Linked DNA regions of Nothobranchius furzeri. The protein of the gene in region 2 purifies or fractionates together with the protein of the main gene of each other region. This does not show direct contact. Links are inferred from orthologs where the notes say so. Each region holds a gene or a part of one and is shown on either strand. Other genes may lie near its edges.

Region 1 (4,288 bases), on a different chromosome or scaffold from region 2:
GGCAGTCGATAACGGGTGGGTGACCCTTCAGGCCCACCTTGATGGAACGCCGCTGGATGTCCACCACCACATCTCTTCCCTTGATGCGGAACTTCACATCAAAAGGCACCACCAGCTGTTGGAGAATTTCCAAAATTCAAAAACGAATGTCAAGCAATAAATAAAAAGCTGCAAGATGTGATCACTTTGGTCTGTATGCATGAATGTAGAGATATGAATGAAGACCTAGAAGTGTTTACATTCTAGGGCTGGGGGTAAACGATTATTTTTAAAACGATTATTCTGACGATTATTTTATCCAATAGTCGACTATTCTAATGACTATTTACACAATTAATCTAATGATTATTTTTCTATTGCACAGTTAATAAAAACCAGAAAATCTCAAATTCCTCAAAAAAATTGATAAATTCTTACTGTAAGAGAATAAACACTACAGGCCTTCCATTTTGTATAACACTGCGTTTATTGTGTTGCGGTTGGTTATGTTCTGGTGACGTGTAGAACTTGGGAGTGCAGGCTGCTGCCTGAGAGGTGGTAGAAGATGGAGTGTCTCCATGCTGCTTTGTTTTGGTCACTTATGTGCGTGAGGCGAGTGGTCTTACAGGTTAAACCAAACTCAAGGTGATATTTTACACTAAACCGAAAACCCACAACACTCTAAATGTAATAAAAGGGAGATCTACACCACAAAAAAGATGAACTCTAAACCAAAACGTAACCGCTTATCCCAACGCAAGAAGCTGTTAGCGAAGATGCTAACAGTAGCTTTACCAACATTAAGTTCAAGTTACCAAGTTTAAATAAACCAAAAACACCCAGCAGCAAACAGACCAGCACGGAGGAGAGACTGCTACCACCAAAACAGCTCTCCTCATGTCTGAAAGAAGCTCCTTAATGAAGGGAGAAACGCTCCCGGTGATTTTCTACATCTGCGATAGACACGAAGCAGCGCGTCTGACCCCGGAAGTTGTTGTCCGTTGCCGGGAGACGAAGGCGGGCAAAACAGGAAAGGAATCTAGTAGCGGATGGACGTTGTTCCGGGTCTTCGGTATTTGGCGGAGATGTTAGTGAAGGCGGAGAAGAGGGCGAACTACAGAAAAAACAGGCAGATTCCTCCTCTATTTACAAACTCCTGGGGATGCAACAAGTGGGCGCGGTGCGTCGACTTCCGGATCTGACGTCGACGAATTTTTAGAATCGAGCCGTCGACGTTGTCGAGGCTTCGCTACAGCCCTACTACATTCAAACAAAAACCCAAACTAGACAACTCACGTCTACGTCGGACAGAGTTTGTGTCCACTTGTAGTTTGGCAGGTCAGCACCGTTTCCTGAATTAGGCTTCAGCTTATCCTTATCCTTCTCGTCCTCCTCTCCGTCAGAGTCAGACTAAATAAAAAAAAAGACAGATCAAGTCGGGAAAAGTTCATTTTACTGCTCATAAACACCTCAAAGTTGTCCACTCACCCCCTTCTCTTTCTCAGCCATCTTTTCTTCAACTGCCGTCACATTCTTCCGCTTCTCCTCTTCCTCCTTTTTCTATTTTCAACAAATAAATATGTCATTCTGTTCTAATGTGTCAAACTATTAAAGCATCCAGGTTCCACCTTATCAAGCTCAGACTGAAGCTTTTCTGCCTCTTCATCAGTCAGCTCCTGAATTCGTGGCCCATCTTCATGTTTCCTCTCCTCTTCTGCAAGTTTGGCCGCTCTTTCAGCTCTGTCCTTCTTCTCCCTCTCCTGTTTCGTCTGCTTCTCTTTGTGAGCCTTTAGAGCCAGCTTGCTGTGGTGATCAAAGGAATCCTTGACCAGCTGGAAGGGATAAGAGTTGAAAATCGGAAGCAAATGAATAAATGAGGTTATTTCTGCCAAAATCATCCCAGAGGCCTAATAATAATAATAATAACAATCAATATTCACCTTCTCTGCAGCTCCTGCATCCCCACCAACAAAGAAGTCAGTTTTGCGTCGTAGAAAGCTGAAGAATGTATTTACTAACTTTGGGGGGGTGGGGGGGGGGGGGGGGGGGGGGGAGAGAAGCAAATTTCTCATGAAAATTAATCGTTAACTTTCTACAGAGCAAAAGTAAGATGTTGTCATGGCTAAAGTGGTCTGAATAACATATGTCCACACTCTGCAGATATTAAAATATTGGCATATTGTATAAATCTAAAACCCTAGAATGTTTTTTCTTATGGATTTATTAATTAAAACAAAGAAATATCAGTATTATAACATATTTGCCTAAATTCAATTCAAGCACTCCCAAGGCGAGTTTTAAAGACTACCCAGAACTGTTGATTTATACATGAAAAAATACTAAATGATTATTTCAGTACTTTGTCTAATAATTGTAAATATTATAAAGCTAAAACCAATGTCAGTCATTTTCAAGCACTTTCAAGGACTTAATAAAACCTTGAAAATTGATGTGGCATTTTCAAGCACTTTACACTTCTAATTGTTTTCTAGGCCCTTCAACGTGAAAAAGCTTTACCTCTACGTATTTTTAAGCCAATTAATCAAACATGCATAAAACGTGTTTAGATTTTTCTGCAAAAATCTGTCTTCACTCATCTTGTACAAAACAGCAGCAACAAGACATTTGGCTATCAGAATGTTTATGAAGGCATCAACCTCCAACAGGAACAATGCACTGCGTCGTCCGCGTGACAGACATGTTAGCTTAAATACTAGCATAATAGCTGTAGCATCACGCTGACTTACCTCTTGTACTCCTCCTTCGTGCTGTTGTGCCATGACGAGCAGCATCCCGTCATATTTTTCCTCCTCGTCACCCATAATGATCTTGGTAGAAACGTTCACTATTAGCCACGCTACTAAAAAAAAAGATAGCTCTTCAATAATGAGAAAACTCGTTGTCACACTTAGTTCCTGGAAGCAAGCCACGCCCACGGTTTACTTGACCAATAGAAAGAAGAAATCGTAGATGACAAAAGAACTGTCCAATTAGATGAGAGCATTGGGTAAAACGGGACAGAGGCGTGAGAATTTTCTAGAGAAGAGTCACGTGATTGTAAAATAAACTGAGATTCTCATGAAAAAAAAGCTACTTCAACTTCAGTTATTGGTCATAAAAACATGAACTGTAAAAGAAATAGGTAAATATGGAAAACATCCAAGAAAAAAAGAAATCGAAATCCAATTAATATCTAGTTTGTTTAAAATCTGCCCTAACCGTGGGGTTTGTGATGTATTTAACCAGAAAGTAATGGCTGGAATAGCATTATTTTAATCTCCATCTTTAAAAACCTCTAACATGCTGTGCTGTTTCACACAAGGCAATGCAGGTTTGGATTTTGTTCTCTCCCTAAACAATAAAAACCATCATTTCAAAACTACATTTTGTGTTTACTTGTGTTATCTTTGACTAATGGTTAAATGTGTTTGATGATCAGAAACAGTTTGTGTGACAAAAAGGCAAAAGAATAAGAAATCAGGAAGGGGCAAATAGTTTTTCACACCAGTTTTTGATGAGCATTTTTAACTCAGAAGTACCCCTGAAGGAGTAAGTTGTTCAAAACTTATTTTGAGCCTGAGAGGGTAAGCTTATTTCAAAAATACTATGCTCCAGCCTCCTGTATTGTGCAATAGTATGCATGTCATTACATGCCTCTCAGACTTCCAGTATTTGAGCAGTACAAAGTAAAATGAGCATTTCTGTTGTGTTTTTGTTCCAGTGTAGATTTAAGAACAGGAGTGATGTGTTTGGTTTTCTTGGATCTTGTTAAGACTCTAGCAGCAACATTCTGAATAAACAGCAGTTATTTCGCAGCTTTTTTGGGAAGACCAGTCAAGACCATTACAGTAGTCCAGCCTGCTGGAGATGGAACGCATGAATGAGTTTGTCTAGGCCTGAACATGAGACTTCTGAGTCATGCTATATGGTGAAGATGATAAAATGCTGATCTAGTTATAGCCTTAATGTGACCAGTAAAGCCGAGGTCAATTATGACACCACAGATTTCCAACCTGGATCTTTGTTTCTATCCCTCTGGAGCCAAGTTGAGCAATAACGTAGCTCCGACCTTTCTTAGTGGCCTAGTGGGAGAGTGTCCGCCCTGAGACTGGGAGATCAGGGTTCAATTCCTGGTCGGGTCATACCAAAGACTTTGGAAAAAATTAGACCCAATGCCTCCCTGCTTGACACTCAGCATTAAGGGGTTGGATTGGGGGTTAAACCACCAAATAGTTCCCGAGTGCGGCTGTGTCTGCTGCTCACCGCTCCCCCAGGGGATGGGTCAAATGTGGAGAACAAATTTTGCACA
Region 2 (3,819 bases):
GTACCTGCACATAAGAAATAAATCCTTCAGACCCGCTGAGCTGTCAATGTGTTGCTTTCAGGCCATTCATTCATTAATGTTTCATTCCTATACACACACTCATATAAAATAAATCATTAAATGGATCTCCTCTCCCAAGAGATGCAGTGGATGTGTAGGTGTTATTGGTGTAGATATAAAAGAGTAGGTTATAGATATGTGAGCTTAAAAACACAAGAACTGGTTATTTTTGGACCCTTATTCTAAGTCATCTGTATTTTTTATACTTTCATAAGTCAATGCGAGTCCCGAATTATCACCCCCCCCCCCACACACACACACACACAAAAAAGCATGATGAGAACAAAAGCTCCCGAGTGTGTGGGTGTGTGTGTGGGAGATTGTGGAGGATGTGTGTGTCAGGCTGAAGCTGAGCAATCGATAAAATTTTCAGCAAAAAGAACAGACAAAGGTTGAGTGGGGTTAGTTGTGGTAAGAGCCAAAATCAAGATGACCTACAGGAAACAGGACTGCACTGAGAAATGGTTAAAACTCGAGAAATTTGTTATTTTACTTCACAAACTTCAAATTTTGTTCAAAAGTAAAAGAAGAAAAAGAAATGACCACATAAGCTGCTGAGAGGTAAAAAGGAGAACTGTGTCCTGTGGCTGGAACTCAGATAGGTTGGTTTGGGTGAGGACAGTTTCCCAGAAGCACCTGAGAGAAGCAGACTGTGTCGCTATGGCAACGCGACAGTCTGACCGACAGCATGTTCTGTCTCTGTTCTGACTAATGCGCGCTGGCACTTGCTATGAACACACACACACACACACACACACACACACACAACTAGCTTATTTTGCCTACTGATGACTGAACAATAATCACAGAAAGTGGACAGGTCCCATACGGCATCACGGTCTGTGATCGTATGCTTCACAGGAGAATAAACTATTAGTTTTTTGACAAAACGTTTAATTTATTGGTTGCCATTGGTATGTGAAGAGCATTTCAAGAAGTATGGCAAAATGCTTCAAAAAACCCATGTCGTACCCCACCTTTGAAGATTTTCTAACCATTAACAAAAAGCTAATTCAAGAATTTATTTAGCATCAACTGGATACTTTGGATTTGCTTAATAGTTTTGTTTGCAGCAACAACAGCACATTGCAAACCATGAACTAAATGCCATCTGATGCAAAGATGGAGGGGCAAAAGAAGAAAACCCACAACAAAAATTCTGTAATCTGAATTGAGATTTAGATGACAGGTAAGTGACGCCTAGCGTCTGCGAAGCGTGCACGTGAAACTTGAAAAAACGTTCATTTATTTCAGTATTCCATCTTAAAAGGGGAAACTAATAAAATGACATCAAATAGACTGATTACATGCAAAGCAAGTAATTTCAAGCTTTTATTCGTTATACTCATTTTGGCTTACAGTTTATGAAAACCCCAAATTCAAACTCAGACAATTAGAACATTGTGAAAAGGTTCAATATTCTAGACTAAAGGTGTTACACTCTAATCAGCTAATGAATGGCTTCCTGAGCCTACACCCCCCCCCCCCACACACACACACACACACACACACACACACACACGATGAACTGTAGCGCTCCTATCGAGCATGGCTACACCAATGTTCAGAGAAAACCCTTTTTTCAGCTGCTACGGTTTGTCTAGATTTCTAGGCCAGTAGTATTAGGCCAGCAATTAGCCGCCATTAAAGAAGATATGTGTGTATGTTTTCAATGACTGCAAAGTGGTGTACTATGGAAGCATCCCAGAAGCGCAGTATTTTTTATGCAATACACTTCCAGAATGCGTCAAGTTCAGTTCAGATCAGAGCAAACAGGAAGTCAAACACGAGTGCATAAACTACAGACCTTTGTGGATACATGCAGCTTTCTTTCTTCTCGCTTGTTTTTACGTGAACTGCCAAAATCACGCGTGTGGCATGCTCTTAGAGTTCTCCTGGGATTCATGATGCTGCAGAACTGACTGCATGGAATGCTTTTCACTCTGGATTCATGTCTGAAATGCTCCCTGTGGGAAGGAACGCACTGAGCTCACGGAAAGTGCGTCTATTACGTTACTTGATGCTTACGCGTCCAGTGGAAATCCGGGGTGAGTCCATCCATCCATTTTTGGCTGCTTATCCAGGGTCCGGTCACAGAGGCAGCAGCCTGGGAGGCTAAGACTTCCCGGGGTGAGTCCTCTATGAAAATTTGTCCAAGGTTCTTTAATGTGTAATCACTGACTGCCGTCTACTGAAGGCACCAACTACACAGAAGTACTCCACACAGCCTTGCCTTAAAACCTCCATTTCTTTTTTACTTTACTCATCATATATCAAACCCAGCTCTTTAAAGTCCTCCTGAGGCTGAGTAAACAACATATTTATCAGGTCCATCATCACTTGTGTTTTCATACAAGTACAGGCACACGACTCAACACGGATACACAGCACAACACGTGTGTGGAGACATTGTCCTACACGCCCATGCTGAACAGATGGGGGGGCTCTCCTCTTTCTAGCTAGGCGACAGGAGAGCCAATTAACACTCTGAGTGGTCCCAGCACCAGCAGATTGGTTGTGTCACCACAGAGCCAAAAAGAACAACAGGCACTGAAACAAAGTGCAGAAAAAGACAAATCTGCAGGTGGGAAGAGAGAAGAGGAAACAAAAGTCCCCCCCCCCCCCCTCCCAGCTCGACAAAGAGGTGGTTTTTGGCAAGCAAGCAGGAGAGAAATACAGGTGACAGAGACAAAAGACAGAATGAAAGACAGACAACATGTGCAGGGGGATAGATAAACAGACGGACCACATGTGGTATTGGCAAGCCACCGATTTCCACAACTAGCCAGCAAGCCAGTCCATCAGCTGTTCAAACAAACAGACACAGTCAGTGCGCCGTCAGGACAGCAAGTCCAGCCAGCAACATGAATTCATCAGATGTGGAACAAAGAGAGGTGAAAGGATCAAACGCAGGAAGGGAAATGCAGATGAAGTTGGAAAGAGAGCTGGGCTGAGGTCCGAGAACAACAGCAAGACAAAACTAGAGGTAGTAGGAGCAGGAAGAGAGAAGAACCAAAGGAATGGGGGCAGAAACATGGTTCTGTTTCCTTCCAACAATCCTAAGATGAGTCATCATGAGTGGGCTGCCTGCTCGCCGGCCGAGTACTAAAATAACACCAAATACACAAAAAAGGCATCAAACACACACACACACACAGGAAAACAGAGCAGACTTCACCTTTACTGGTCATGTCAACGAAACAGTAGGATTTAAAAATAGAATATTGTTGGATTTTGTGGTGTGTGTGTGTGTGTGTGCGTGCGTGCGTGTGTGTGTACCTGATGTCCATGAAGTGTATACAATAGCTTGCCCTCCACAAGGTCCAGTATCTTCATTGTGGAGTCGCTGGACGCAGTGATCAGGAAGTTTCCAGCAGGATGGAAAGACAAAGTGTTCACCATACCAGTGTGAACTGGAAGACACAGACAACAAACATTTAATGTTGTTTTTCAAACACAAATCCTGCGTCAGTTACAGCTTTACCTGTTCTGAATGTGAAAAAAAAAAACAATAAAATGACTGGATTTTTAAAAAATGATTTCAGAATATAACAGCAGCTTTTGCAGTCTCTCAGAGCTTCTCAGACAGCTTATAACACAGAAAATTTAATTAGGATTTCAAGTTATAAAAGACAAAACTGCAGCTGAAAATAAAGCATGTGAACTTTTACAAACACTACAACCGTAGGATTAATGAAACGCTAAACAAAAGAAATGGTTTTAATCAAATTATGAGAAAGTTAAAGAAAATAGAATAAT

Evidence for each region.
Region 1: the proteins of poc1a (region 2) and nudc purify together in Homo sapiens (co-immunoprecipitation; 3 studies listed by BioGRID and IntAct, with this or other methods). This does not show direct contact. The link is inferred for Nothobranchius furzeri from reciprocal best matches to the Homo sapiens genes POC1A and NUDC.

What each region holds. Positions count from the first base shown.
Region 1 is NC_091759.1:16,935,592-16,939,879, reverse strand, and holds the start of nudc (nuclear migration protein nudC), read right to left. Parts: upstream 2,935-4,288; 5' UTR 2,802-2,934; coding exon 2,727-2,801; intron 1,998-2,726; coding exon 1,920-1,997; intron 1,812-1,919; coding exon 1,608-1,811; intron 1,540-1,607; coding exon 1,468-1,539; intron 1,390-1,467; coding exon 1,276-1,389; intron 116-1,275; coding exon 1-115. UniProt on the Homo sapiens protein: Plays a role in neurogenesis and neuronal migration. Necessary for correct formation of mitotic spindles and chromosome separation during mitosis. Necessary for cytokinesis and cell proliferation.
Region 2 is NC_091743.1:62,509,757-62,513,575, reverse strand, and holds part of poc1a (POC1 centriolar protein homolog A), read right to left. Parts: intron 3,474-3,819; coding exon 3,340-3,473; intron 1-3,339.